4 linked regions of the Anolis sagrei genome follow. The protein of the gene in region 1 purifies or fractionates together with the protein of each later gene. This does not show direct contact. Links are inferred from orthologs where the notes say so. Each region holds a gene or a part of one and is shown in the gene's direction. Other genes may lie near its edges. The genes, in order: CDKN1B, CCNE2, SPDYA and CDK6.

What was found.
Region 2: the proteins of CDKN1B (region 1) and CCNE2 purify together in Homo sapiens (co-immunoprecipitation; 5 studies listed by BioGRID and IntAct, with this or other methods). This does not show direct contact. The link is inferred for Anolis sagrei from reciprocal best matches to the Homo sapiens genes CDKN1B and CCNE2.
Region 3: the proteins of CDKN1B (region 1) and SPDYA purify together in Homo sapiens (affinity purification with western blotting; 3 studies listed by BioGRID). This does not show direct contact. The link is inferred for Anolis sagrei from reciprocal best matches to the Homo sapiens genes CDKN1B and SPDYA.
Region 4: the proteins of CDKN1B (region 1) and CDK6 purify together in Homo sapiens (affinity purification with western blotting; 8 studies listed by BioGRID and IntAct, counting the BioPlex papers as one, with this or other methods). This does not show direct contact. The link is inferred for Anolis sagrei from reciprocal best matches to the Homo sapiens genes CDKN1B and CDK6.

What each region holds. Positions count from the first base shown.
Region 1 is NC_090025.1:101,981,490-101,989,487, forward strand, and holds the start of CDKN1B (cyclin-dependent kinase inhibitor 1B), read left to right. Parts: upstream 1-4,994; 5' UTR 4,995-5,236; coding exon 5,237-5,702; intron 5,703-7,998. UniProt on the Homo sapiens protein: Important regulator of cell cycle progression. Inhibits the kinase activity of CDK2 bound to cyclin A, but has little inhibitory activity on CDK2 bound to SPDYA. Involved in G1 arrest. Potent inhibitor of cyclin E- and cyclin A-CDK2 complexes.
Region 2 is NC_090024.1:33,594,607-33,602,264, forward strand, and holds the start of CCNE2 (G1/S-specific cyclin-E2), read left to right. Parts: upstream 1-4,651; 5' UTR 4,652-4,729; intron 4,730-6,795; exon of another isoform or gene 6,796-6,874; intron 6,875-7,658. UniProt on the Homo sapiens protein: Essential for the control of the cell cycle at the late G1 and early S phase.
Region 3 is NC_090021.1:42,727,932-42,735,340, reverse strand, and holds the start of SPDYA (speedy protein A), read left to right. Parts: upstream 1-4,408; 5' UTR 4,409-4,417; coding exon 4,418-4,640; intron 4,641-5,255; coding exon 5,256-5,314; intron 5,315-7,082; coding exon 7,083-7,168; intron 7,169-7,409. UniProt on the Homo sapiens protein: Regulates the G1/S phase transition of the cell cycle by binding and activating CDK1 and CDK2.
Region 4 is NC_090026.1:102,370,922-102,378,385, forward strand, and holds the start of CDK6 (cyclin-dependent kinase 6), read left to right. Parts: upstream 1-4,461; 5' UTR 4,462-5,299; intron 5,300-7,464. UniProt on the Homo sapiens protein: Serine/threonine-protein kinase involved in the control of the cell cycle and differentiation; promotes G1/S transition. Phosphorylates pRB/RB1 and NPM1.

The sequences.
Region 1 (7,998 bases):
ATAGCAAAAGGGAGAAATAGGCGAATTTATTTATTTATTTATTTCTCGCACTTCTACCCCGCCCTTCTCAACCCCTGAGGAGGGACTCAGGGCGGCTTACAAAAAGGCACAATTCGATGCCGGCACAACAACAAGGTAAAAAATAAAACATATAAACAGTAATTAAAACAATTAAAACAATCCATTATACATCACAATTCCTAAAAACAATCTAGTGCTTAACGTTTATCAGCTCAGAGTCCGTAAATTCAAATTCCACATTGTCCAATTCATCAATTCTAGTCATTGCTTGTGCCTTATCTATCCACCAGATTACCCGAAGGCCTGGTCCCAAATCCATGTTTTTAATTTCCTTTTAAAGGAGAGGAGGGATGTCGATGACCTAATTTCCCCGGGGAGTGAGTTCCACAGGTGAGGGGCCACCACCGAGAAGGCCCTGCTCCTCATCCCCACCAATCTCACTTGTGATAGAGGTGGGGCCGAGAGCAGGGCCTTCCCAGAAGATCTTAAACTCCGAGGTGGGACGTAGAAGGAGATGCATTCGAACAGATACGCTGGGCCAGAACCCAGGGTTTTGTAGGTCAAAACCAGCACTTTGAATTGTGCTCAGAACTGGATCGGCAGCCAGTGGAGCTGACAACAGAGGGGTTGTATGCTCTCTGTATGATGCTCCGGTGAGTAATCTAGTTGCCGTTCGCTGGACTAATTGAAGTTTCCGAACGGTCTTCCAAGGCAACCCCACGTAGAGTGCGTTGCAGTAATCTATTTAGGATGTAATGAGAGCGTGGACCACTGTGGCCAGATCAGACTTCGCAAGGTACGGGCGCAACTGGCGCACAAGTTTTAATTGTGCAAAAGCTCTCCCGGCCACTGCGGAGACCTGGGGTTCTAGGCTCAGCGATGAGTCCAGGATCACTCCCAAGCTGCGAACCTGCGTCTTCAGGGGAAGTGTAACCCCGTCTAACACAGGCTGTAACCCTATGCCCTGTTCGGCCTTACGACTGACCAGTAGGACCTCTGTCTTGTCTGGATTCAGTTTCAATTTGTTAGCTCTCATCCAGTCCGACACAGCTGCCAAGCACTGGTTCAAGGTTTGGACAGCTGCCTTGGTGACAGGTGAGAAGGAGTGACAGATTTGGACATCATCTGCATAGAGACAACACCTCATTCCGAAACTCCGAATGATCTCCCCCAGCGGCTTCATGTAGATGTTAAACAACATTGGGGAAAGAAAAAGAAGTCATGTCAAGCAAACCCTTGTCGGGACCACCTTCTATCTGGAAATGTATGTCCTCACTGTGAAAGACCACGCAGATTCAGAACTGTTGGATTTCACAACCTTCTCAAGGCTCCACTAGTTGTTTGTTATGTATATAATTGCTTACTGTATTGTAAATGTGTGTATTGGTTTGCAGTTTTCTTTTGATACTTTGTTGTGGATGGGACTGTAGACCATGTGATCAGGTCTGGGCTTCTTCAGGACTCAGACTCCATTTTAGAAACAGTTCAGTTTAGACTTCAGTGGAAACAGATCTATGCTTTTAGAAGTTAGTTGAAATAGACTACAGAGACTCTATTAGACTCTCAGAACAGAGAGATGCTTTGGACTATGATTCTAAGAAAGATGCTTTGTGTTACCTACGCAGAGACACTGCTTCAAATCTTTTCCTGGTTTGAAAGTATTATTTCCTGTTTAATTGTGTGGCACTTACTTTGAAAGTAGTTGCTATATTCAAGAAACTTCATTTTTGTGGCTGCCACAAACTATGTTGAATTGGTTGAGACTTGAGATATTAAAGGGAAAACTACAGCAAAGGGTGCTGCAGGCTGTCTTTTTCCATGTTTATAGGCTAAGAACCAATGAGCTGGTCATTGACCAATAAAGTGAACTTATTTAATATTATTTATTTATTTACAGCATTTATATTCTGCCCTTCTCACCCTGCAGGGGACTCAGGGTGGATCACAATGCACACATACATGGCAAACATTCAATGCCATAGACACACATATATAGAGACACAGAGGCTATTTAACTTTCCAGCTTCATGAGGGTATGCTTTTTTAATTCTGGCCACTGGGGGAGCTGTTGCTTCACCATCCACTTGTGACACCGATGGAGTACTTCCTCATTCTTTGCACGCTGCTGGAGAGTTTTATGGCTTCATAAATTAGTTAAATTAGCCTCGCCTACATTTCCTACTTGACAGATACAACTGTCTTTTGGGCTGCAAAGGTCGACAGCAAGCTAGGCAAATGGCCAGAAGCTCACTCCGACCCAGGCTGGCTTCGAACTCATGACTCATGGTCAGTAGTGATTTTAATGCAGCTGACTCCTGACCAGCTGTGCCACAACCTGCCACAACTTGAACTTGAATTATGCTGGAACCAATTAGGAAACTACATTTATAACCCAGGAACAAAATTAGTGTTACATAGGGTAGTAATAGAAAAGTTTCAAGAACTGATTGGTGAACAGCTCGTGAGTGCTTAGAAAAGAAGGCTGAGCTGATTTTTAAAGTCTGCGTGGGTTTCTTTAAAATGTGGATGCTGCCAATGTGGCATATCTTCCCTTCAGAAAGTGTTCCGACTAAGGGCTTTATCAGACAAGTGCTTAAAGCAGGCAGCCCCACATTTCTGGCATCTTCTGCCGCATGCAGAGTTCTGGGAAATGTAGTTTGAGAAGGCACTTCTGTATCTGAGAATTCCAAAGGCCCACTACATTTCCCAGAATTCTGCAGGTGACTGATGACTCCAGCACTGAGAGTGCCTTGGACTGCGAGAAGATCCAACCAGTCCATCCTCCAGGAAATAAAGCCCGGCTGCTCATTGGAGGGAAGGATACTAGAGACAAAGCTGAAGTACTTTGGCCACATCATGAGGAGACAGCAAAGCCTAGAGAAGACAATTATGCCGGGGAAAATGGAAGGCAAAAGGAAGAGGGGCCGACCAAGGGCAAGATGGATGGATGGCATCCTTGAAGTGACTGGACTGACCTTGAAGGAGCTGGGGGTGGTGACTGCCGACAGGGAGCTCTGGCGTGGGCTGGTTCATGAGGTCACGAAGAGTCGGAGACAACTGAACGAATGAACAAGTAAGTAAGTAAGTAAATAAATAAATGCCTTCAGGCCCGTAGCTAGGATTTCGTTTCGGGGGGGGGGGGGGGCTGAGTTTTGGGGGGGGGGGGTTGAGTCTGAGTGAAAGAGGGTCTACCCTAGCAAACCTTTTGTATCATTACCCCAATACCCCCATGCATATGGGATATATTGAGTATGGTGATCAGATCATGATATGAATAAACATAACAGTTTAAATAATGCACCAATAAGGCCTTTTCGCGAACCACCATTAAAATTTGGGGGGGGGGGGCTGAAGCCCCCCGAGCCCCCCCCCCCCGGCTACATGCCTGAATGCTTTCACACTACAAGAAAGGCGATTCCATATGAACATGAGGAAGAACTTCCTGTGAGAGCTGTTCAGCAGTGGAACTCTCTGCCCCAGAGTGTGGTGGAGGCTCCTTCTTTGGAAGCTTTTAAACAGAGGCTGGGTGGCTATCTGTGTGTGTGTGTGTGGGTGCTTTGAACGCAATTTTCCTGCTTCTTGCCAGGGGGTTGGACTGGATGGCCCATGAGATCTCTTCTAACTCTAGGATTCTATGATTCCTGCCATAGATGCAGGCGAAAGGTCAGAAGATAATGCTGCTGTTGGAACATGACCATACAACCCGAAAGATTCACAGTGATTCCGGCGACGAATGCTTGAATGGACAACACATTGTCTCCTCATTGTTTGGCTGAATGGAACAGAAGGGTTGTTGCTTTTCTTGTAGATTTTTTCAGGCTATAGGGCCATGTTCTAGAGGCATTTCTCCTGACGTTTCGCCTGCATCTATGGCAAGCATCCTCAGAGGTAGTGAGGTCTGTTGGAACTAGGAAAAGGGGTTTATATATCTGTGGAACGACTGGGGTGGGGCAAAGAGCTCTCTGCTGAAGCTAGGTGTGAATGTTTCAGCTGACCACCTTCATTAGCATTTGAAGGCCTGGCTGAGCCTGGGAAAATGTTCTGTTGAGAGGTGTTAAGATGTGCCTGGTTGTTTCCTCTCTGTTGTTTTGCTGTTGTAATTTTAGAGTTTTTTTAATACTGGTAGCCAGATTTTGTTCATTTTCATGGTCTCCTCCTTTCTGTTGAAATTGTCCACATGCTTGTGGATTTCAATGGCTTCTCTGTGTAGTCTGACATGATGGTTGTTGGAGTGATCCAGCATTTCTATGTTCTCAAATAATATGCTGTGTCCAGGCTGGTTCATCAGGTGCTCTGCTATGGCTGACTTCTCTGGTTGAAGTAGTCTGCAGAGCCTTTCATGTTCCTTGATGCGTGTCTGGGCGCTGCGTTTGGTGGTCCCTATGTAGACTTGTCCACAGCTGCATGGTATCCGGTAGACTCCTGCAGAAGTGAGAGGATCCCTCTTGTCCTTTGCTGAACGAAGCATTTGTTGGATTTTCTTGGTGGGTTTGTAGATTGTTTGTATGTTATGTTTCCTCATCAGCTTCCCTATGGGGTCAGTGGTTCCCTTGAACACCTAGCTTCAGCAGAGAGCTCTTTGCCCCACCCTGGTCATTCCACAGATATATAAACCCATTTTCCTATTTCCAACAGACCTCACTACCTCTGAGGATGCTTGCCATAGATGCAGGCGAAACGTCAGGAGAAATGCCTCTAGAACATGGCTCTATAGCCCGAAAAAAACTACAAGAACCTAGTGATTCCAGCCTTGAAAGCCTTCGACAATACATTGTTGCTTTTTCCCCTGCAAAAACCTGACTAGAGAGCTGCACTCGGTTGTGCTGTTGTGGGTTCATAGCTTGACAAACACGATTGGGCACAAACAGACTGGGAGGGGGAGAGGGAGGCCAGGTCGGGTGACGTCACGCCTGTGTTTGCACCAATGGGGCGGCGCCTCCCTTTAAAGCGAGGGCCCTTGTGTCAATCATCGCCTCCCGGGCCAGCCTCCCTTCCATCGCCATATTGGGCCACTGGGGGGGAAAGAGGCTCGTCCTGCGCCCGCCCCTCGCGGCTTCCCCGCCTTGTTTTTCTCCTTCGGAGGAGCGTTGACATCGGGCGCGGCGGGGCAGGAGCCTTTGGGCTTCCCCGCGTTGGTCTTCCTTCTTCTGCCCGGGGCGGGGGGAGGCTCGGCTTATGCGCGGCGCGGCGCAGGGAGCGCCCCGGCTCCGCGGCGATGTCGACGGTGCGCGTCTCGAGCGGGAGCCCGACGCTGGAGCGGATGGAGGCGCGGCAGGCGGAGGGGGCGCCCAAGCCCTCGGCCTGCCGGAGCCTCTTCGGCCCCGTGGACCACGCCGAGCTGGCCCGCGAGCTGCGACGGCACCGCCGCCAGGCCGAGGAGGCCGCCCAAGCCCGGTGGGAGTTTGACTTCCTCCGCGAGCAGCCCCTCCGAGGGCCCGAGCCGCGCTTCGAGTGGCGCGCCCTGCGCAAGGACGCCCTGCCCGACTTCTACAGCCGACCGCCGCGGCTCGCCCGACGCCCCGCAGCCAGCCCGCCCCGCAGGCACCACTGCAAGGGACTCTCTGCGCACAACCAGGAGGAGGAGGAAGAAGAGGAGGAGGAGGAGGACGGGGTCCCCGAGGCAGCACGAGCGGAGGAGGGCCAAGGCCCGCCCAGTTCGAGGAAGCGGCCCGTCTCGGACGGTAAGCGCCCAGCCTCCATTCTCTCCTGCTCCCCGAGCACATCCGGGCCTTTTCTGCTCCAGGGTTACCAAAGCCCTTCCTTCTCCTTCAAACAACAACTGGCAGGTAGCAGAGGAAGCAGGTCTCTGCTCTTTGGATCCCACTTGGGTTGTCGAAAGCTTTCACGGCCAGAATCACTGGTGTGTGTGTGTGTGTGTTTGTGTTTTCCGGGCTGGAGGGCGGTGTTCTAGGAGCATCTGTGGCTGGCATCTTGAGAGGATCTGATCCTAGAATCCTAGACTTGGAAGAGACCTCAGTCCAACCCCCTGTCAAAAAGCAAGAAAATTGCATTCAAAGCACCCCCGAGAGATGGCCATCCAGCCTCTGATTAAAAGCTTCCAAAGATTGAGCCTCCACCACACACTGGGGCAGAGAGTTCCACTGCTGAACAGCTCTTACAGTCAGGAAGTTCTGACTAATGTTCAGGTGGAATCTCCTTTCTTGTAGTTTGAAGCCATTGTTCTGTGTCCTAGTCTCCAGGGCAGCAGAAAATAAGCTTGCTCCCTCCTCCCTGTGGCTTCCTCTCACGTATTTATACATGGCTGTCATGTCTCCTCTCAGCCTTTTCTTCAGGCTAAACATGCCCAGCTCTTTAAGCTGCTCCTTATAGGGCTTGTTCCCCAGACCCTTGATCATTTTAGTCACCCTCCTCTGGACACAGGTATGTAGCCAGGGGAGGCTTGGGGGGCTGAAGCCCCCCCCCCCCCAAATTCTCATGGTGGTCTGCGAAAAGGCCTTACTAGTACATTCTTTAAGCTGTTATGTTTATTCATATCATGATCTGATCACCATGCTCAATATATCCCATATGCATGAGGGTATTGGGGTAACGATAGAGAAGGTTTGCCAGGGTAGACCCCCCCAGACTCTGCCCCCCCTCAGACTCAGCCCCCCTCAGACTCAGCCCCCCTCAGACTCAGCCCCCCCAGACTCAGCCCCCCTCAGACTCAGCCCCCCCAGACTCAGCCCCCCTCAGACTCAGCCCCCCAGACTCTGCCCCCCCAGACTCAGCCCCCCCAGACTCAGCCCCCCTCAGACTCAGCCTCCCCCAGACTCAGCCTCCCCCAGACTCAGCCTCCCACAGACTCAGCCTCCCCCAGACTCAGCCCCCCTCAGACTCAGCCCCCACCCAGACTCAGCCCCCCTCAGACTCAGCCCCCCCCCAGACTCAGCCCCCCCAGACTCAGCCTCCCCCAGACTCAGCCTCCCCCAGACTCAGCCCCCCTCAGACTCAGCCCCCCTCAGACTCAGCCTCCCCCAGACTCAGCCCCCCCCAGACTCAGCCCCCCCCCCCAGACTCAGCCCCCCTCAGACTCAGCCCCCACCCAGACTCAGCCCCCGTGAACCAAACTCAGCCCCCCCCCCCCAATCAAAATCCTGGCTACAGGCCTGTCTGGACACATTCCAGCTTGTCAATATCTCTCTTCAGTTGTGGTGCCCAGAATTGGACACAATATTCCAGGTGTGTTCTAACCAAGGCAGAATAAAGGGGTAATAATAATAATAAACTTTATTTCTGTACCACCCTATCTCCCCGAGGGGACTCAGGGTGGTTTACAACAGAAAATTGGCAAACATTCAATGCCGGCATAACATAACAAACAAATCAAATCATAAACAATAAAATAAATAACATCAGGTGTACTTATAGAACAACTCAAAAATAACAAACTTAGACATTTAAATATATAAATCAAACATTTAGAACATGTTTACTACTAGATCTAATGATAGCAACCACTCAAAACATTAAAAGTAAAAAGGCATTTACAAGTCAACAGGGCTGAGGTGGTGTCCAAGTCAGAGTGATTAAGGTGCCGACCGAATAAAATTATTATAGGACCTATAGAGGTCTAGTTACCATCCCCCACCCACACCCGCCTCCCCATAATATCCACCCCTATTCTTTATGCCCTCCCAGAGGTTCCCAGATCCTCACAATTAAGGAGTCCTCTGAATACTGTTTAAGGACAGGAATGCAACCCAGCTCTTCATGAGGGGTATAAACTGTGGTATGAGGTCTTTTGGGAGGCAGGTGTTTTTTCTTGTGATGGTGAGGTCTCTCTATCCATGTTGGTAGAAGTCTTATAGTGCCAAGATCTTATTGATTGGCTTAACATAGTTGGATTGCAAAGCAGACTCTGGGTCTAGTGCTGGGTATCATGACCTCCCTGGACCTAGACACTATACTCCTATTGATGCAGACCAAAATCCCATTGGCTTTTTTTTGCCGCCGCATCACATTGTTGGATCATAT
Region 2 (7,658 bases), on another chromosome or scaffold:
TCGGCCTTGCGACTAACCAGGAGTACCTCTGTCTTGTCTGGATTCAATTTCAATTTGTTCGCCCCCATCCAGACCGTCACAGCGGCCAAGCACCGGTTCAGGACCTCGACAGCCTCCTTAGTAGCAGGTGGGAAGGAGTGACAGAGTTGGACATCATCTGCGTACAGATGACATCGGACTCCGAAACTCCGGATGATCTCGCCCAGCGGCTTCATGTAGATGTTAAACAACATGGGAGACAGTATTGAATCCTGAGGAACCCCACAAGACAAAGGTTGTGGGATTGAACAGGAGTCTCCCAGTAACACCTTCTGAGACCGACCCTCGAGGAATGAGCGGAGCCACTGCAGAACAGTACCTCCAAGACCCATCCCCGCGAGGCGTCCCAGAAGGATACCGTGGTCAACGGTATCGAAGGCCGCTGAGAGGTCGAGCAGCACCAACAGGGACACACTCCCCCTGTCGAGCTCCCGACGCAGATCATCCACTAAGGCGACCAAGGCTGTCTCGGTACCATGCCCCGGCCTAAAGCCAGACTGTGCCGGATCCAGATAATCCGTGTCTACCAAGAATGCCTGGAGTTGTGAGGCCACCACACGTTCCATGACTTTGCCCAAAAAGGGGAGATTGGAAACAGGCCGATAGTTGACGAATTGAGTGGGGTCCAGTGATGGTTTCTTCAACAGCGGTTTTATCACAGCTTGCTTTAAGCTGGCTGGAATTTTGCCCTCCTGAAGGGAGGCATTAACCACCACCTTCACCCACTCGGCCAATCCCCCTCTGGCCTCCTTCAGAAGCCAGGATGGGCAGGGGTCTAGGATGCATGTGATAGCTCTCATTCCTCCAAGCACCTTGTCCACATCCCCGGATTGAACCAATTGAAATGAATCCATCAAAACCGGACAAGCAGATGCTCGTGTTACATCCTCAGATACTGCCGTTAATATGGTATCCAGTCCAGAGCGGATCAAAGCGACTTTGTCTGCGAAGAACCGAGCAAAGGCTTCACAGCGAGCTGCCGAGTCATCAGGGCACCCATCCTGAGTGGCGGGTTTTAATAGGCCTCTGACAACTCGGAACAGTTCGGCCGGACGGTTCTTTGCAGACGCAATAGTGGCCGCGAAGAAAGTCTTCTTTGCGGCTTTTATTGCCGCGGCATATGCCCTTAAAAAGGACACAAACCGTGTTCGATTTGGCTCGCTCGGATCCGAACGCCACACGCTCTCTAGTTCCCTCTTCTTTCACTTCAACGCTGCCAGCTCCTCGGTGAACCAAGGAGCTGGTTTAGCTCGGCTACTTGAGAGGGGACGTTCTGGAGCGATCGTGTCTATTGCCCTAGTCATCTCCCCATTCCTGAGAGCGACCAGAGCATCAACAGGATCACCAACCGAGGTGGCGGGAAATTCCCCAAGAGCCGTCAGGAATCCATCCGGATCCATAAGCCTCCTGGGGCGGACCAGTTTAATGGGTCCTCCACCTCTGTGGAGGTTGGGGGGTGCAGTGAGTCTAAAACTGACCAGGTGGTGGTCGGTCCATGGCAACGGAGAGATGGATAACTCCTCAACACCGCCACCTTCCTCCCATCCCTGGCAGAAAACCAAGTCCAATGTATGTCCAGCACTGTGGGTGGGGCCAGATACCTGTTGGGACAGCCCCATGGTTGCCATGGTAGACATGAAGTCCTGAGCCGCTCCCGATAAGGCAGCCTCGGCATGGACATTGAAGTCCCCCAGCACAAGCAGCCGTTGGGACTCCAATGCCAGGTCCGAGACCACCCCCGCTAGCTCAGGCAGGGAGACTGTAGTTCAGCGAGGTGGACGGTACACTAACAGAATCCCTAATCTGTCCCGGTCACCCACCCTCAGGTGGACGCATTCAAAATTTGTTGACTGCGGGATGGGAGCCCTGGTCAGAAGAATGGAATCTCTATAGACCACTGCAACTCCGCCTCCCCGCCCTCCGGATCTCGGTTGGTGCTGCACAGAGAAACCTGGCGGGCAAAGCTGGGTTAAATTTACACCTCCCGCTTCGTCAAACCAGGTCTCTGTGATGCACGCCAGATCTGCCCGTTCATCCAGGATTAAATCCTGGATGAAAGTTGTTTTACCGTTGACAGATCTGCGTTCAACAGCACCACTTTCAATTCGGAGGGACCGCCATCCTGGTTACACCGACTTACCATATCAGGAGACCGATTTGGGATTACTAATGTTGTTCCACATTCCCTAGGCCGAATTAAAGGTCTCCCTTTCCCGTATCTCCCCCTCCCCACCACGACTTCTATGGGGGCTCCCTGGTTAACGGAACCCTCTCCCTCCTCCATGACGCATTCAGCAGCCAAAGTATCCACTCGTAATTCATTGTTGGCTGTATGGTATGTTATAGTTCCAGGATGCCATAGTCCTGCCTTCCGTTCATTTCCTATTCCTATTATGTTAAACTCCGGTCTTTCTGATCTACTCCGTTCCCTCTCTCTACCAAAAACAATTAACAGCAAGAATAACAGATGCCAGGGAATGGGTAGTAACATGGATAGTAGCTATTAACACTGTCAAAGGAGTTCTTAAAGTGCAGGAGTTCTTAAAGTGCAGATAGATAATTGTATCAACATACACGATGGTATAAGTAATTAAAGTGCAGTAGCTTAGTCGATTGGCTCTAAAGTGCTCGAATGGAGTGCGTCATGGAGGACTTAAATTCAGTGCAAGATGTTATATTGTATTACATTATAATATTATATGTATATACAATATTTTATATTATACTAGCCGTCCCCTGCCACGCGTTGCTGTGGCCCAGTCTGGTGATCTGGAAAATAATGAGAAAGTATTCATTTTTAATATATGTAATTTCTTTCTGCTTGTGGGTAAACAGTATTTCTTGCTGTTTCTTTATCAGTGTTGATGTGGAGACTGTCTGGTTTGCTTGCTCTGGAACATGCAACGTATAATTGTCCTTCTTTAGGGGTCCCTTTCTATCTATGATACTGTATCTCTCTCTGAGTGTGAATCATATCTATCTATATCTATGTCTGGATGGCTCTTTGTCAGGAGTGCTTTGATTACGTTTTCTTGCCCTGGTGAAGGGAGTTGGACTGGATGGCCTTAAGCATGGGTGTTCTGCATGGGAAGTTTGCCCCAGTTCTTTTGTTGGTGGAGTTCAGCATGCTCTTTGGTTGTAGGTGAACTATAAATCCTAGTAACTACAACTCCCAAATGTCAAGGTCTATTTCCCCCAAACTCCATCTGTGTTCCTATTTGGGCATATGGAATATTCATGCCAAGTTTGGTGCAGATCCATCATTGTTTGAGTCCACAGTGCTCTCTGGATGGAGGTGAACTACAACTCCAGAACCAAAGGACACTGCCCACCAAACCCTTCTGGTGTTTTCTGTTGGTCATGGGAGTCCTGTGTGCCAAGTTTGGTTCAATTCCATCGCGGGGGGAGTTCAGAATGCTCTTTGATTGCAGGTGAACTATAAATACCAGCAACTACAACTTCCAAATGACAAAATCATAATGTTTTGTGATGGTCATTCCTTGTGTTGTGAGACGATTTCTTGCCAAATTTGGTGTGATTTCGTTAATTGGTTCTTTTGTTTTTAAGGTACTCATTATGCACAGAGCATTTATATATATATATATTATTAATATAATATAATATAATATAATATAATATAATATAATATAATATAATATAATATAATATAATATAATATAATATTATTATATTATATTATATTATATTATATTATATTATATTAATTATTAGTAAAGCACAGGAGACAAGATGGAACTGTCTTCTGCCCCCCTCTGTCTTAACTCTGGTCTAAACCCTTCTGAGTGAAACCAGTTGCCTTTCCTTCCTGCTTCTCTCTCTCTCTCTGCTGTCAGCCTTCAAGCGCCCTCTTGTTTACATTCTGCCGACAGCTCCACGTTGCCGAGCCTTTCCGCTTCCTCATTGGCTAGAGCGCGGGTAGAGGCTCCGCCCAGGGGCGGGGCTTGGAGCCCAGCTGTCTAAAAGCGGGTTGTTGAGGGGGAAATAAGCTTAGGAAAGAGAAACAATTAGTGTTTGACAATATGGGGGGCAGAAAGCGGGCCCACGTTTGAGAGGGGCTGATTGTGAGCGAGTCAGGACAACAAATGTATTCCAAAGGGGACACATTTCTTCCCCAAAGGGAGGCATAAAGCATTATGGCGGGAGTTTCACAATGACACGTTTCCTTAGACCTGGAAGCACTTTTTTCATGAGTCGGAGAGTCCTTTAGGATGATTGCTCATGAACCCCAAAGTTATATTGGTTTCTTAGTCCCCCAAGGGCCATGCAGTCTAAATCCATTCTGAACACAGCGAGGCACCATCAAACCCTTCCCGACAGTTGGCCATCCAGCCTGTGCTTTAAAAAAATCTTATTTTCAGTCTATGCCTGGAATTTGATACGACTCGAAACCGAAGCGTTGGGATTTCCATTTAAATATGAGTTGTGGCACAAGAAGGAAGGCTGTCCCTTTTTGTGGGTCAGGATTGGCCAGGCGGAGTGACCACCGCCCCTCTGAACCTTCCCGCCTGAGGCTGAGGCGCATTTGGCGCGGAAGAAGGGGCTGGGCGGCCTCCTCTTCCTCCTCCTCCTCCTCTTCCCCTTGGCGGCTCCAGCGTGAGGCGGGGCTCTGGGCGGAGGCCTTCCCAGGACATGGAAGGAGGCTCCTCCACAGACACTGAAGTCCACTCAGGTACATTGGGGTGCACAGAGATAACATGGAATACATTGGAGTGTATTGGGGCGCATTGGAGTACACTGGGGAGCATTGGAGTGTATTGGGGTGCATTGGAATACATTGGGGTGCACTGAAGTACATTGAAGTTCACTGAGATACATTGGGGGTGTATTGGGGCTACACTGAAGTACATTGGGGTGCCCTGAGGTATTTTGGGGTGCATTGAAATACCCTGGGGCTCATTGGAGTGCCCTGAGATACATTGGAATGCACTCAAGTACTTTGGGGAGCATTGGGGGTGCATTGGAGTACACTGGGGTGCACTAAAGTACATTGGAGTGTATCGGGGCGCATCGGGATACACTGAAGTACATTGCAAGCATTAGAGTCTATTAGGGTGCCCTGAAGTATATTGGGGCTCATTGAAATACACTGAAGTGCCCTGAAGTACACTGGAATGCACTTAAGCCCTTTGGGAAGCATTGGGGTCCATTGGGGTACACTTAAGTACACTGGGATGCACTAAAGTACACTTTAGTACATTGGAGTGTATTGGGGCACATTTGCGTGCACTGAAGTACATTACGAGCATTGGGGTGCATTAGAGTGTTATTAAAGTTCATTGAGATACATTGGGGTGCACTGAGTTACATTGAAGTACACTGGAGTGTGTTGGGGCACACTGGCGTACACTGAAGCACATTGGAGCACACTGGAATACATTTGGGAGCACTGAAGGACACTGAAGTACATTGGGGTACATTGAGGCCCATTGAGCTACATTGGGGTGTACTGAAGTACATGTGAGTGTGTTGGGGTGCATTGGAGTACATTGGGGTGCAATGAAGTATATTTGAGTACACCGAAGTTAATTGAGGTACACTGAAGTACATTGGAGCATACTGGAATACATTGGGGAGCACTGACAGTCACTGAAGTACATTGGGGTGCATTGGAGTGCATTGGGGCTCATTAAAGTACATTGGGGTGCATTAGGCTGTATTGGGACTCATTAAAGTGCATTGAGATGCATTGGAGTTTATTGGGGCTCATTAGAGTACATTGGGCTGCATTGGGGCTCATTAAAATGCATTGGGGTGCCTTGGGGCTCATTAAAGTACATTGGGGTGCATTGGGGCTCATTAAAGTACATTGGGATGCATTGGAGTGCATTGGGGCTCATTAAAGTACATTGGGGTGCATTGGGGCTTATTAAAATGCATTGGGGTGCCTTGGGGCTCATTAAAGTACATTGGGGTGCATTGGGGCGCATTGGGGCTATTAAAGTACATTGGGGTGCATTGGGCTGTATAGGGGCTCATTAAAGTATATTGGGATGCCTTGGAGTGTATTGGGGTGCATTGGGGCTCATTAAAGTACATTGGGGTTCATTAAAGTACATTGGGGTTCATTAAAGTACATTGGGGTGCATTGGGGCTCATTAAAATACATTGGGATGCATTGAGGCTCATTAAAGTACATTGGGGTGCATTGAAACACAGTGGAGTGCATGGGGGCATCTTGGAATACACTGGGGAGCACTGAAGTACATTGGGGCGCATTGAGGTACATTGAAATGAATTGAGGGTCATGAAAGGGAAAGGATCCCCCCTCTTTCCCTCAGGTTTCCCCCCATCAAAATCCCAGAGACTCATTATTTGCAAAGGGGTTTGTGTCCCCTTCCTCACAATTCCTCTCTGCCTGGCTCTTGGGGTGTATTGAGGTAAATGTTTGGAAGGGAAGGGGAGGCCTTGAAACCCCCTTTTCCCCTTAGGCTTCCCTCCAAAACCACCAAATCCCCCCACTTCCCCCTCAAAAACTGGATTTAAAAGTCATTCAAAGGGGTTTCTTTCCCCCCAGACTCCTCTTTATTCCTAAAAGTGACAGCGGAGAGGAGAACGAGGAGTGTATTGGGGGGAGAAAGGCAGATTGCGGTGCGTTTGTGATGATTTGTCCCTTATTGTTGTGATGTGGAGCCGTTTTGGGGTCCCGCGGTCTCTCTCTGGGCGGGAGAAATCCGCAGCCCGGGAACTGACGGGAGGGATGAGCCTGCGCATGCGCACTTTCCGCGCTATATAGCCTCTTGGCGCCGGCGCCAGCTGAGGACAGTCCTGAGTTGGGCGGCAAGCGGCGGAGGAGGAGGAGGAAGAGGCTGAGGTGCGGGCTTTGGGGGCGCCCTTTGGGGGGCCATTTGGGGAGCGTGTCAAGAGCAGAGTGGGAGGAGGGCGGCTCCACAGAGGAGACCTAGACCTGCCTTTGCAGTCTCTCCCCATTATGGGGTTGGGGCAGTAGGGGTACCCCTTAATTCCTTCTTTTGGGGTGGGTGTCTCTATTTAGGGGTGTCCTGCAAAGTGGGGGTGAAGGTGTTGAGTTGGAGGGTTTTTTCTTCTCTTCGGAGGAAGGAGGAAGGAGGGAGGGAAGAAGGCGGGCTGCCCGCCTTCCACTTTGCCGGCTTTTTTCGTTTTGGAGGGAGAATGAATTGAATGGGGGGAAAGAAGGGGAAATAATGGGGTCCCCCAACCCATCCGCCTTTGGGGGGCTCAATGGGGGGAAATAGAAGGGATTCTAGGCGGGAAAAAGGGGTGTCTTCCCCAAAAGTTGAAGCAATTAGTCTCCCCCATGATAAGCACACTTTTGGGGCTCTTTTTTGGAGCATGAATTGATTTAAGGGGGGCAGGAGATCCCTCTATATCTGTGAGAGAATTGGGGGGTCTTAAGACCCTAATTGGGGGTGACTTCTTAGAGAATGAACTTATTCTTCTTCCCCTCAAAAATCATATATAATAATAATAATAATAATAATAATAATAATAATAATAATAAACAATAATATAGCTGCACAGATGGGTAGATTTTGGGGTCCCCTATAAAAAGGACTTTATGAGGTGGCGTAGAAATATAGTGCAAAAATTGGATGGAGTTTGGGGTCCCTATAAGAAGGACT
Region 3 (7,409 bases), on another chromosome or scaffold:
TCTATCTATATCTATGGCTGGCTGGCTCTTTGTCAGGAGGGCTTTGATTATATTTTTTTACCCTGGTGAAGGGAGTTGGACTGGAGTATTTTCTGTTGGTCATGGGGGTTCCGTGTAGGAATTGTGGCCCAATTCTGTCATCGGTGGGGTTCAGAATGCTCTTTGATTGTAGGTGAACTATAAATCCCAGCAACTACAACTCCCAAACGTCAAGATCTATTTCTCCCAAACTCCATCTGTGTTCATATTTGGGCATATGAAACATCCGTGCTAAGTTTGGTCCAGATTCATCATTGTTTGAGTCCACTGTGCTCTCTGGATGTAGGTAAACTACAACTCCCAAACTCAAGATCAATGCCCACCAATCCCTTCGAGTCTTTTCTGTTGGTCATGGGAGTCCTGTGTGCCATGTTTGGTTCAATTCCATCATTGGTAGAGTTCGGAATGCTCTTTGATTGTAGGTGAACTATAAATCCCAGCAACTACAACTCCCAAACGTCAAGATCTATTTCTCCCAAACTCCATCTGTGTTCATATTTGGGCATATGAAACATCCGTGCCAAGTTTGGTCCAGATTCATCATTGTTTGAGTCCACTGTGCTCTCTGGATGTAGGTAAACTACAACTCCCAAACTCAAGATCAATGCCCACCAAACCCTTCTGGCATTTTCTGTTGGTCATGGGAGTCCTGTGTGCCATGTTTGGTTCAATTCCATCACTGGTACAGTTCGGAATGCTCTTTGATTGTAGGTGAACTATAAATCCCAGCAACTACAACTCCCAAATGTCAAGGTCTATTTCTCCCAAACTCCATCTATGTTCATATTTGGAATAGTTGTGCCAAATTTGGTCCAGAAATCATTGTTTGAATCCACTGTGCTCTCTGGATGTAGGTGAACTACAACTCCCCAACTCAAGATCAATGCCCACCAAACCCTTCTGGCGTTTTCTGTTGGTCATGGGAGTCCTGTGTGCCATGTTTGGTTCAATTCAATCACTGGTAGAGTTCAGAATGCTCTTGGATTGTAGGTGAACTATAAATCCCAGCAACTACAACTCCCAAATGACAAAATCAAATTGTTTTGAGTGATGGTCATTCCTTGAGTTAGTAGGTGTCTTGTGGCCAAATTTGGCAGCAATTCATCCAGTGGTTTTTGAGTTATGTCAATCCCACAAACGAACATTACATTTTTTATTTATATAGAAGCCATAGGAATGGTTCTGTGTGCCTTCTGGGTGTTAACTATGCTATTTTTGGAAGAAGTTACTAATTTAGATCTTCAAAAAATGTAACTTTCTGAGTTCTTCAGCTGCTTTCCTCACAAAGTGAGCATAAAGCCAAAGGCCACAAGTCAGTTAGCAACAACGCTCCCTCTTCTCTGATTGGTTGAGAGGCTTCCTTTGGCCCACTACAGTGTCAAGGCCTTCTTCCAGAGAAAGAGACTGAAGAGGCGCTTGAATTTTGATTGGCTGGGACTTGTCAAGAGAGCATCCTGATTGGCCGTAAAATAATGGTAGGTTTGCTTTTTGCCTTAGATGAGGTTGCCAGGAGGAGAGAACATGCCCAGTTGAGGTTTCTGATTGGTGGATCAGAAATCTCCATCTTGTTTGCCATTAGGGTTCATAGGCGTGAGGTAAATATTGACACTGAGCATTCCTGGCAGACAAAAAAGTGTTAATTTTGGCTCACTGACTTTCTTGATGGGAGCGGACCACACAGAGACTTTTCGAGGCGAATTAATTACGAGAATGGCACTATTAAGTTGATCATTCCTTATCCACAATTCCGAAATCGGAAATGGATGAATGGCTTAGAGATAGGGACAACCTTGCTTTCTGATAGTTCAGTGTACACAAACTTGGCTTCCTATACAGCACTATTTAAATAGCAACAACAATAATAATTTATTATCCTCCTTCTTGCAGCTTGTGTATAAAACAAGCATGGGGAAATTTGGCCCCTCTGGGTGTTTTGGACTTCAACTCCCATCATTCCTAACAGCCTCAGGCCCTTTCCTTTTCCCCCTCAGCTTAAGCAGCTGAGGGGGAAAAGGAAGGGGCCTGAGGCTGTTAGGAATGATGGGAGTTGAAGTCCAAAACACCCAGAGGGGCCAAGTTTTCCCATCCATGCCTGGTGCAGACTCATATACTCCATCCAGTTTTGATCTCAAATGTTTCTAGGTTATTCTGGATTATTTTTTTCTTTAGTATTTTACTTTCCAGGTAAGAATAATGGCATTTGCTGGAGATGGCATTGATTGCCGATTGCAAACCGCCTCAAGTCGCCTTCAGGCTGTGAGAGGTGGTATATAAATATGGTTAATAAATAACTAAAGAGAATATAAACATTAAGTGAAAGGAAATATCCACCCGACCCGATCCCCAGAAGGATGCAATCAATTGTAAGAGTGTTACAATTTTATGGTGTGAAAAAGATCTGTGTCCTGGAAGAGGTAAAATAGCAATAATGAAAGTCAAATCTTGGGTTGTTGTAGGTTTTCCAGGCTATATGGCCATGTTCTAGAGGCATTTTCTCCTGACGTTTCGCCTGCATCTATGGCAAGCATTCTCAGAGGTAGGCAAGCATCCTCTGAGGATGCTTGCCATAGACACAGGCGAAATGTCAGGAGAAAATGCTTCTAGAACATGGCCATATAGCTCGGAAAACCCACAACAACCCTGTGATTCCAGCCATGAAAACCTTCGACAATACAAAGTCAAATCTTGCTTTTAATTTATTCTATGATGCAAAATGGTGTTATAAATTGATATGGAAGAGGAACAAATTAAAGGTGGTATAACAAAATTGGCTCAGAATTTACGCTGGATCATACCGATGAAACAATGGGGCAAGGTGGTCAAATGGGCTAACATTTATGTTATGATGTCAAAGACAGTTTTTATAAAATGATGCACCAACAGTCTATGATTCCAGAAAAAAAAGACTAGAATGTGTAAACATATTTCAAAAGTATGGCAGAAGTATGAACAAGCTGGGAGATGTTATCACATGTGGTGGACAAGTGAAAAAGCTACAAAGTTTTGGATTCAAATGCTTAATGCAGTACAGAAGATCTTGAAGGTTTATATTAAGTTAAAGTAATGACCTTGCTCCTATTTATTTATTTATTTATTTATTTACAGTATTTATATTCCGCCCTTCTCACCCTACAGGGGACTTACAGTGTACACATATATGGCAAACATTCAATGCCAATTTTGACATACAACATATACAGACAATACACAGAGGCTATTTAACTTTTTCTGGCCGCCAGGGAAGCTGTCGCTTTTCATCATCCATCCGCGACACTGATGAAGTACTTCCGCATTCCCCGCATGCTTTTTTGCTGGAGTGCTTTGCTGGAGTCTTTTTTTATGGCATCATAAATTAGTTAATTTAGTCTCCCCACACTTTAAGATGGTACCTAATTTTCCTACTTGACAGATGCAACTGTCTTTTGGGTTGCAAAGGTCGACAACAGCCTACACAATGGGTTGGAAACCCACTCCAACCCGGGCTGGTTCAAACTCATGACCTTTTCGTCAGAGTGATCTTAATGCAGCTGACACTCAGCCAGCTGCGCCACAATCCCGGTGCTTAATGCAATACAGAAGATCTTGAAGGTTTATATTAAGTTAAAGTAATGACCTTGCTGCTACTGCTGCTCAAGTTGTTGCTAGAATAAGGTGGCAAATGCACTGACAGTATTGACAGTGATGGAGCAGAACATTTCAGAGGGCTCTGTGAAGGACAGCGAAAGGACAAGATTCAGATAAGAAGTGACAATATGCACAAGCAACCAAACAAAAGATTTGGTTTTATTGATGGAAAGAGAAAAGGCACTTTAAAGAGTCTTTGTGATACAGTTGCTTCCTGATTTTTACAGTGAAGATCAGAAGAAACTAGTGGTGTGATTTCTGGAAGCTGAGATGGTATGGATTTAGGCAGCACAGTTTTGATGATAATAGTAGCAGCAGGAAGACACAATAGACTGTAACAATGATCTTGAGATTCTACAAGTAATTCACAGAAAAAAAATGTTGCCCACTCCTGCCCAGTCTCTTTTTTAGAGATAAAAAGTGGGGTACTACTGCTACTACACTACTACTAATAGGTATGTAAGTTTATTTTTGGATGCCAACAGATTATGAAAATGAATGCCTACAAAAATAAACCTTTCTGAATCAGAAGCATTGAAGTTGCAAACATTGTGTTAAAGTCAGCTATGTCATATTGTCAGACACAATATGAAAATTGTTCAGTATATAAAAGTATATAAAAAGGTATATAAAAGTATCACTAATGGATGGGGATATATAGTTACATCTCCTTAAGATGGAATTGTGCCTTTTTCACCCTCCATTTGGCTAACCTATTTTTTTTTTGCCTTAATAGACAACATCATTTAGAAAAATGAAACATAACCAGAGCTGCTGCCAGACACCTTCCACTATCACTGTGCATGCAAAATCAAGTGCAGCCCGAACCTACAAGCAAAAAAACCCCCTTTGCCTTAAACGTCCTAAATTTAAAGACAGCCAAGAGACCTGTGGGAAAAACATTAATAATAACAAGCCAAAAGGTTCCTGTCTAGTTATTCAGCGCCAAGAAATGACAGCTTTCTTTAAATTATTTGGTAGGTTTTTAGAATGCATTTCATAAAAGTATAGGTATATATGTATCTGCATTATATCACTGTTGCATTTCAATAGCACTTCTCAACACTGAAAGTGGTATTTTGAAAGATCGACAAGACTAACCTAAGATTATTCTGTCAGCTAAAGTGCATGCATTGAAGCTTTAATATCTACATTCATTCCAAGTTTGTGTTCATTACAGCATATTGGTTTTTATGAGGTACTGACATAAAATCCAGTATTCATGGGATATAACTTCTTTCTGTTTGTTAACCTGGTTAGAATATTCCTTCTAGCAAAATGTTTTGTAAGTTACTTCTGAGTTCATGGAAAATGTTGTTTTGATTTGCCTGGAAGTGAAGCAATGGAAAGGAAAATAAATAACCCATGAATAGATATTTCCACTTGGCCATTTTTCTTTCCTTTATACCTAATCTTCTTCAGCTATTATGAAGCAATTCTTTTTTTCCAGACAGATATGCTACTTTCTCTGCACCAAACCAGTTGTCATTTTAAATGCAATTTGATTTCTTTTAGAGATATTTTTAAAACTCATGTTTCCTGAGATTTATCAGAGATTATAGTTGGTATGTCATAGTTGCTTTATTTTACAGATGATGATTTAATTCAAGATTTCTTGTGGATGGATTGTTGTTGTAAAATTGCAGACAAGGTAAAGCTGGTTGTTATCATGAAATTCTTTCCAACTGTAAGGTGGGAGAAAATAAAGATTTTCTGTTTTTATTACAGGCCTAGTTGTGGAGGTTGTTTCCAAAAGGTACGAAATCCTCCCAGATTTGAAAAATGAGTTTATAGGTGGAACCACATGGTTGTTTAGGAGTAGAATATTACACAGAGATAAAAACTATCAAAATAGATCAAATTGTTTTGGTACAGGGCTTGAAAAATTGCATTTTATAGCAAAAGAATGCGTATCCGCAGCATGTTTTTTTTATAATTCCTGTAAAATTTGTTCAGATGGATTTAGTACTTTTTGGATACAAACTTCACAGCTGTGTGTGTGCATATGTGAGTTCCTCATCACACACATGCTATAGCGTGATTTTCAACTGGAATGGGCAAAGTTCAGGCTTATGGGATCTGAACTTTGCAAACATGAAACAGCATCCTGGTGTAAAAAAAAAACCCTATTAAACATACTTGTATATAAAGCAACTTCATATATAAGGCAAGAGTAGGTTCTGAGGTCCAAATTATGGATTTTGCTATTATTTGTGGGTAAGGGAAGTCATTCCATAGAGGTGAGAAAACACCAGGGTCAGCTTAGGGTTCTGCCACCACCACCATTTCCCTACCCAGACATTCAAAAAGGCCTTTTGCCATTCTAGGAGACGGTGAAAACCATTTTGAAAAAAGTTAAAGTATAGTATTACCTCTTTATATATATATATAAAAGGAACCACCCCCTTCTTTGAGAACAGTGGTGAAATGCAACAGCTTAGTCCTCCCTGGGAGAACCTAAAAGGAGCATTGTCCCCTCTCTCCACTTTCTCAGTAGTCTTTTTTGGGGGGAAGTGTCCAAAGAACTGCCATTGCCATTTTCCTGCCCAGGCATTCAAAAAACATGACAAGGCTCATGTACTTTAACAGCTAGCTCTGGAAGTTTTTTGGTGCCATGAAATACTGTAGGGGAAGATGAAGAAAACCCTGGTTATGCTGACATTGGATTTAAAAGAACATGGTTGGATTTTGGTCCAAACTAGTTTTGCCTCTTTAGGTATAGAATTTGTCCTAAATTAGCTGATTATTATTATTATTATTATTATTATTATTATTATTATTATTATCTTCTCCATTTCTATGTCATCTTTCTTCCAGAGTGAGACCCAATGTGGTTTCCAAAACAATTAAAAAGATTAACAATCAAAATGTTAAGACGGTTTTAGTTGTAGAAATTAAAATATTGTTATTCCATTTGGTTTTCAATGGATTTCAGTTTGTATAGCTTCTATGTTTCTGATGTTATAGAGTTGAGGGAGGGGTGGCTCCCTTTTTGTGTATTTACATTTCTTTTTAACATTTTAGCTTGGGCCCTTGTTATGGTTCAAAGAGTTTACAAATCTTCCTGCCAAGCAATGACCTGTTACACCTTACTGCAAATAAGCCATTCAAATCTCTAGATATTTTATTTTAACAGTTTAATGACAAGAGACCATGTCAACATACTACATAATTATGGGCCTGCAGATGTTTTTAGGTTTCACCCATATGTTGGCTGTGCCTAATACATGCTGTAAGTCAAAAGCATCTGAAGAGCCATAGTTGCCACCTTTAAGGTCTGATTATCTATACCAAATTAAATTAATATAAATTAGTTATGTGCTTTTTGTGTTAATGTCACCAATTGATTAAGAGGTGTTTTGTTATCCTAAAAAAAGTAATTGAAAATGGGGGCATAAATATTTTATCTTTCTCAACAGTACCTATTGGCAATGACTTTTGTTTATTTCAAGAGAGCCGGCTACAGTATAAATGAACATACCAGGCTCAATTTCTTTGTGGCTCTGTAAGTACTCTGATTACAACATAAGTGACAAAGTTTTATTCCTTGAGAGAGGCAGTTAAAAACATCTCTGATGCATTGAAGAAATTATTAGTACAGGATCTTTTTTTCAGGTTTACAGATTATAATGTCCTAAATCTGATTGTTAGCTAAAATTAGACAGAACATGATTCTTTAAGTCTACTTTGTCCAGAACTAATGTCACATGCTATGTGTTGAATTTAAGCCAAAGTTTTGATCCAAG
Region 4 (7,464 bases), on another chromosome or scaffold:
AGCAGTTAAATAATTTTTGACCAAAAACGGGCAACAGCGACTGCATTGTCTGTAGCTTTAAACAATTCTTCCTCTGCGAATGAGGCAGGGCATTGTGGGCAAGCATACAGATGCTGAGTTGTTTATTCTGCCCCACAGTCTAACAAGGTGGAGGATTGGTAGTGCCATTTTGCCAGGTTGTCTTTTGATCTGCCTACTCTGCTTCCAATTCTGTTGAAGGACTTCCAAGTACCCCATTCTTGGTTTGCCCAAATACCCTCATGGGGGGGGGGGGGTCATCCATTTGGGATTTCCTGGTTTAGCTGCCCAGAGGGGATATCTTATCAATCAATAAATAAATTGACATGTAAATTTATAGCAAAGATGGAATAGAGAATAAAAATATTCTGTTTTGACTAATCAATGGCCATCAATTTTAGCATCTATAACTAGTATGGCTATAGACCTCCAATAATGTTTTATACAGCAAAATTGGTCTTTTGTGCAGTTAGAATCTCTTTTCAAAAATCAGAAAACTATTTTAATTGTAATAATGCTTCCTTAATGCATATGTTTTGAAGTTGGCCAATAGTTGCTACATTTTGGGAGAACGTGATCATTAAAGTACATTTAGTTTTGAAAAGTTTTTTGATATTCATTGCTTTTATACTCTTTTTTATAATTTACCTATTCCTTTGAAAATAACAAATAGCCTGTGGAAATAGGTATTGTGTGTCCCTTTGACTGCTAAAAAATGAATATGTTGCTACTGGAAGGTTTTTTCCTTTTCCAATGTGATTTGATAGATAGCAGCTCTAAAAACACTTGCAAAATTTGAAATAATGTTGTACAGACAAAAATTACAATATAACTTATGTATGGACATTTGATCAGTTTTAAAGAAACTTGTGGCTAATGCGGCTAATTTTCCTCCTTATCTGTTTTTATTTTCCTGCTTTTGTTACATTGGAACATTATTGTATGTAAGTGAAATTCCTTTTTGAATATAAATAACATTTACTTTTAAAAAAATAGGATGGGTTAATATATACTAAATCCTCAAGGCATATGTTATCTTCATCCAAGGGAAGGTTGACTGACGTTAATGGAGTTAGAGGTATATTGCCACAGAGATGAAAGATGAAGCTATAGTCACAGGAATGCAGATGGAATGGTTTACATGTGGAAAACACACCTTCCTGTGCTCACAATGAACCTCTTTTTGTTTGGCAGGTTGGCCAAAAGATTCTTAACTGCTATTATTAAACAGGATTTAAGTCATGGGGACTTCCGAGAGCACTGCTGCCTGCCCTTTGCATTCTGATTTCACTTACAAGTACATTAGTAGAACAGTTTACAGTGGGGTCACTGTACATGTTTACATTTATGATTATTTACTAGCCGTCCCCTACCAGGCGTTGCTGTGGCCCAGTCTGGTGATCTGGAAAATAAAGTAATGAGAAAGTATTGGTTTCTAATATATATAATTTCTTTATGCTTGTGTGTAAACAGTATTTCTTGTCGTTTCTTTGTCAGTGTTGATGTAGAGATAGTCTGATTTGCCTACTTTGGAACATGCAAAATATAATTGTCCTTCTTTAGGGGTCCCTTTCAAATCTATGATACTATATCTGTCATATACATATGTGTGTGTGTGTGAATCATATATATCTATCTATATCTATGGCTGGATGGCTCTTTGTCAGGAGAGCTTTGGTTACGTTTTCTTGCCCTAGTGAAGGGTGTTGGATTGGCTGGCCTTAAGGCAGCATTTCTCAACCTGAGGGTCAAGTGGGGTTCAGAATGCTCTTTGATTGTAGGTGAACTATAAATCCCAGTAACGACAACTCCCAAATATCAAGGTCTATTTAACCCAAACTCCACCAATGTTCACATTTCGGCACATCGAGTCTTCATGCCAAGTTTGGTCCAGATCCATCATTGTTTGAGTCCACAATAAAACACAGAATGCAGAGAACAAAAAGTTACATCAAAAAATAGTTAAGTAGCAAAATAAAACAAATAAAGCAAATTAACACAATATAAAATCAAACAGGATGGGCAGGCCAAATGGACGAGATAAAATGATAAAACCCTGGGTGAGGTAGGAATAGAAAATATGTGAGGAGAGCAACAACAACAACAACACTTTATTTATATTCCGCTCTCTCATTCCAGAACTCAAGGTCAATGCCCACCAAACCCCTTTCTGTTGGTCATTGGAGTTCTGTGTGTCAAGTTTGGTTCAATTCCATCATTGCTGGACTTCAGAATGCTCTTTGATTGTAGGTGAACTGTAAATCCCAGCAACTACAACTCCCAAATGACAAAATCAATGCCCCCGCCCACCCCCACCAGTATTCAAATTTGAGCTTATCGGGTATTGGTGTCCAATTTGGTCCAGTGAATGAAAATACATCCTGCATATCTGATATTTACATGACGATTTACAAGAGTAGCAAAATTACAATTATGAAGTAGCAATGAAAATAATTTTATGGTTGGTGGTCACCTGAACATGAGGAACTGTATTAAGGGGTCGCAGCATTAGGAAGGTTGAGAACCACTTATCTAGACACAATGCTCCTATTGATGCAGGCCAAAATCCCATTGGATTTTTAAGCTGCCCCATGACTTTGTTGCCTCATGTTTAACTTGTTGTCCAGGAGGACTCTAAGATATTTTTCACACCTACTGCTGTTGAGCCAGATGTCCCCCATTCTGTATCTTTGCCTTTTTTTCTGCCGAATTGGTGGAGTATCTTGCATTGGTCCCTGTTTAGGTAAGGTAAAGGTTTTCCCCTGACACTAAGGCCTGTCATATCTGACTCTGGGGGTTGGTGCTCATTTCCATCTCTGAGCTGAAGAGCTGGCGTTGTCCGTAAGCACCTCCAAGGTCATGTGACCAGCATGACTGCATGGAGCATTGTTAACTTTCCACCGGAGTAGTACCTATTGATCTACCTACATGTGCATGTTTTCAAACTGCTAGGTTGGCAGAAGTTGAGGCTAACAGCTGGAGCTCACGCCACTCCCCGGATTCAATCCTGCGACCTGCAAGTTGAACAGCTCAGTGGTTTAACCCACTGTTCCACTGTGGCTCCTTGGTCCTGTTTATATTATAAATTACTGCTCCTTGGTCCGGTGGCACAGTGGGTTAAACTCCTGTGCCAGCAGGACTTAAGACCTACAGGTTGGAGGTTTGAATCTGGGAAGAGTGCGGATGAGATTCATCTATCACCTGGTAAAACATCCAAACATCCAGGGTGTCCCCTGGGCAATGTCCTTGCAGTCAGCCAATTCTCCTGTTGCTAGCTCTAGTCTCTGCCAACCTAGAAGTTCAAAAACATGCAAATGTGAGTAGATAAATAGTTACCGCTCCGGCAGGAAGATAACAGTACTCCATGCAGTCATGCCAGCCACATGACCTTGGAAGTGTCTATGGACAATGCTGGCTCTTTGGCTTAGAAATGGAGTTAAGCACCAACCCCCAGAGTTGAACACGATTGGACTTAATGTCAGGGGAAAACTTTTAGCTTTTACCTACTTTAAATTACTTTTGTTCTTTATATATACTGTATGTCCAAACATCCAAAAAAGAATAATAATAACAAGAAGAGTCCCTCTGGAAAAGGCCGGGGCCAATGGGCTCTCCAGGTGTTTTGGACTCCAACTCCCACCATTCCTCACAGCCTCAGGCCCCTTCCTTTCCCCCTCAGCCTTGTAGTTTCACAAGGTCTTCAGCCTTCTGTGCCAAAGCGTATTAGTTCCCCAACAAACTGCAGCAGCCAGGGTTGCATTGCAGAGAGTGCATCTACAGCAGGCATGGGCCAACTTGGGCCCTCCAGGTGTTTTGGACTCCAACTCCCACCATTCCCCACAGCCTCAGGCCCCTTCCTTTTCCCCCTCAGCCTTGTAGTTTTACAAGGGCTTCAGCTTTCTGTGCCAAAGAGTGTTGGCGCCTCACCAAACTGCAGCTCCCAGGGTTGCATTGCGTAGGGTGCATCTACACCAGCCATGGGCCAACTTGGACCCTCCAGGTGTTTGGGGCTCCAACTCCCACCATTCCTCACAGTCTGAATGGTGGGAGTTGGAGTCCCAAACACCTGGAGGGCCCAAGTTGGCCCGGGCCTGCTCTTGTGTAACAAATGTGGACTTTTGCACACCCTGGGAAACAAGCCCACGAGGCAGCAGCAGCAGTTTCAGAAGCTGTGCTCTCCTCCTTCCTCTTCCTCCTCCCAGCTTGGGGTCTCCCCTCTCCCTCCCCCATAATCACCCCCCCTATCGCCCCCCTCTCTCTCTCCTGCCTCCTTGCCGGCGGTATTTGGGGAGAGGGGAGGGGTGGTCTGCCCCCCCCCCCTTGCCTTTTTTTTTGGCCCATGAAGGATTTCATTGAGTGCGAAGACAGAGAGCAGAGACAGAAAGCAGAAGGAGGCGGCCGCTGCCTTTGTAGTCGGGGAGGAATGCGGAAATGTTGAAGCACTATGTCAAACTTTTTTGAAACGGGGTCAAGTCACATTCAGCCAGCGTGGGAAACCGAGGGGGAGAAGGGGAGAAAGGGAAGAGAGAGAGGAAAAGAGAGAGAGAGAGGGAGAGTGAGTGGAGGCGAGTTTGGAGAGGGGGGAGAGAAAAAGAAAAGAAAACTCTTCTGCTCCCAGACTGAGCCACAGAAAGAGAGAGAGAGAGAGAGGAACGGGAACTTTTTTCACAGGCAGGAAGAGTGTCCGTGGGTAGAGTTTGTGAAGGCTTTGATCAGAGTTATTACAACCCCCCCCCCCTTTTTTTTTTCTCTAAGGGAGGAGGAAGAGGAGGAGGAGGGAGGTTTGCGAGATCCTCTCCTTGCATGAAGAAGAGAAGGAGAAGGAGGAAGAAGGAGAAGGTGCCGTTTTGCTCTTCCCGAGTTTGCCAGGAAGATGCGGGTTGAGGAGGAGGAGGCGCTCCGGTGCTGGCGGCTACCTGTGTGGCCCAGGCCGGGTCTGCGGGGAGCCCCAAACCGGAGCAGCACCATGTGAACCTCCCTCCTCCTCCTCTTCCTCCTCCTCCTCCTCCTCCTCCTCCCCTTGACCCATCTGCGTTGGATGGGCAGCCAGATCTTAGGACTTCCCAGAGAGAGAGAGAGAGAGAGAGGAAGCAAGCTGTCCTTTCCTTCCTTCCATCCATCCTTCCTTCCTTCCTCCCACCCCCTGCTTATTCCTCTTTTAATTGTATAGGAGGGGGGGTCCCTTTTATTGCTCTCTCCAAAGACCCCCGTTTGGCTCTGAAGACCGAGGCACCCCTCCGAGAGGAGCTCCCGCACCAACACCAGCAGAAGCGCACGCCAGGTACTTCCTCGGCCCTGAAGTGCCATGTGCTCATCCAGATTGATAGACTCTTTGGTTTCAATGGGGAGGAGGGCTAGTGAGTGGCCGGGCTTGGCTCCGGGAGGGCTCTATGATCCCCCTTTACACCCACCCTCCCACTAACATTCCTCTCATGATCAAAAGGGGGTCTTCAATGGCGAAGGTTGAGTTTGAGGGGTTTTATTACTCCCTTTTGCGCCCAACCACCCCATTGCCCACCTTCCAGACCTCCCTCTGAGCCCCAGGATCATTGACTAAATAGAGGGTCTTAAATAGTGCGGGTTGGCTTTTGGGGGGCTCTATTTTCTCCCTGTACACCCACCCACCCCACTAACATTCCTCGCATGATGAAAAGGGGGTCTTAAACGGCGAGGGTTGAGTTTGGGGAGCTTTATCCCCCCCCCTTTGCACCCAACCACCCCATTGCCCACCTTTCAGACCTTTCTCTGAACCTCAGGATCTAAGGAGGGTTTTAAATAGTGCAGGCAGACTTTTGGAGGGGCTTTATTATCCCCCTGTACACCCACCCATTCCACTAGCTTCCTCTCATGATCGAAGAGGGGTTTTAAATGGTGAGGGTTGGATTGGGGGGGGGGGTTATTACCCCCCTTTGCATCCAACCACCCCTTTGCCCACCTTTCAGACCTTCCTCAAAGTCTCAGGATCATTGACTAAAGAGAGGAGGGTTTTTAATAGTGGGGGTTGGCTTTTGGGGGGGGGGCTCTATTATCTCTTAACAGTCTTCTCATTACCAAAAGGGGGTCTTAAATGGTGAGGGTTGAGCTTGGAGGGCTTTATTACTGCCTTTTGCACCCAACCACCCCATTGCCCACCTTCCAGACCTCCTTCTGAGCCTCAGGATCATTGACTAAATAGAGGAGAGTCTGAAATAGTGTGGGTTGGCTTTTGGGGGGCTCTGTACACCCACCCACCCCACTAACATTCCTCCCCCCTTACACCCACTCATCCTGCTAACATTCCTCTCCAGATCAAAGGGGGGGGGGGTCTTAAATGGCAAGGGTTGAGTTTGGGAAGCTATATTACCCCCCCCCCCCCCTTTGCATCCAACCACCCCATTGCCTACCTTTCAGACCTTCCTCAAAGTTTCAGGATCATTGACTAAATAGAGGAGGGTTTTTAATAGGGGGGAGGCTTTTGGGGAGCTCTATTATCATGAACACTCCTCTCATTATCAAAAGGGGGGCTTAAATGGCGAAGGTTGAGCTTGGGGGGCTTGATTACCGCCTTTTACATCCAACCACCTCATTGACCACCTTCCAGACCTTCCTCTGAACCTCAGGATCATTGACTCAATAGAGGAGGGTCTGAAATAGTGTGGGTTGGCTTTTGGGGGGCTCTGTTATCCCCCTGTACACCCACCCACCCCACGAGCCTTCCTCTCATGATCAAAAGGGGGTCTTAAGGAGGTCTTTACAACCACTGACCCCACTAGCCTTCTCATGATCAAAAGGAGGTCTTAAATGGCTTTATCGCCCCCTTTTACATCCAACCAACCCTCCTCTATTTAGTCAATAGCCCTGATGCTCAGAGGAAGGTCTGGAAGGGGGCTTTATCACCCCCCCCCCTTTACATCCAAGTACCCATTGCCCACCTCCGAGATCTTCCTCTGAGACTCAGGATCATTGACTAAATAGAGGAGCGTCTTAAATAGTGCAGGTTGGCTTTCAAAGTGCTTTATTATCCCCCTTTGGATCCACCACCCCACTAACATTCTTCTCATGATCAAAAGGGGTCTTAAATGGTGAGGGTTGAGTTTGGGGAGCTTTATTACCCCCTTTTACATCCAAACACCCCATTGCTCACCTTTCAGACCTTCCTCTGAGCCTCAGGATCATTGACTAAATAGAGGAGGGTTTTAAATAGTGCAGGTTGGCTTTTGGGGGGGCTCTATTATTTGCCTTTATACCCTCCCACCCCACTAGCCTTCTTCTCATGGACAAAAGGGGGTCTCAAATGATTAGGGTTGAGTTTGGGAGGCTTTATTACCCCCTTTTACATCCAACACCCCACTGCCTATCTTCCAGATCTTCCTCTGAGCCTTGGGATGATTGACTAAATAGAGGAGGGGTGGTTGGATGCAAAAGTGGGTATTAAAGCCCCCCAAATTTGACCCTCGCCATTTAAGA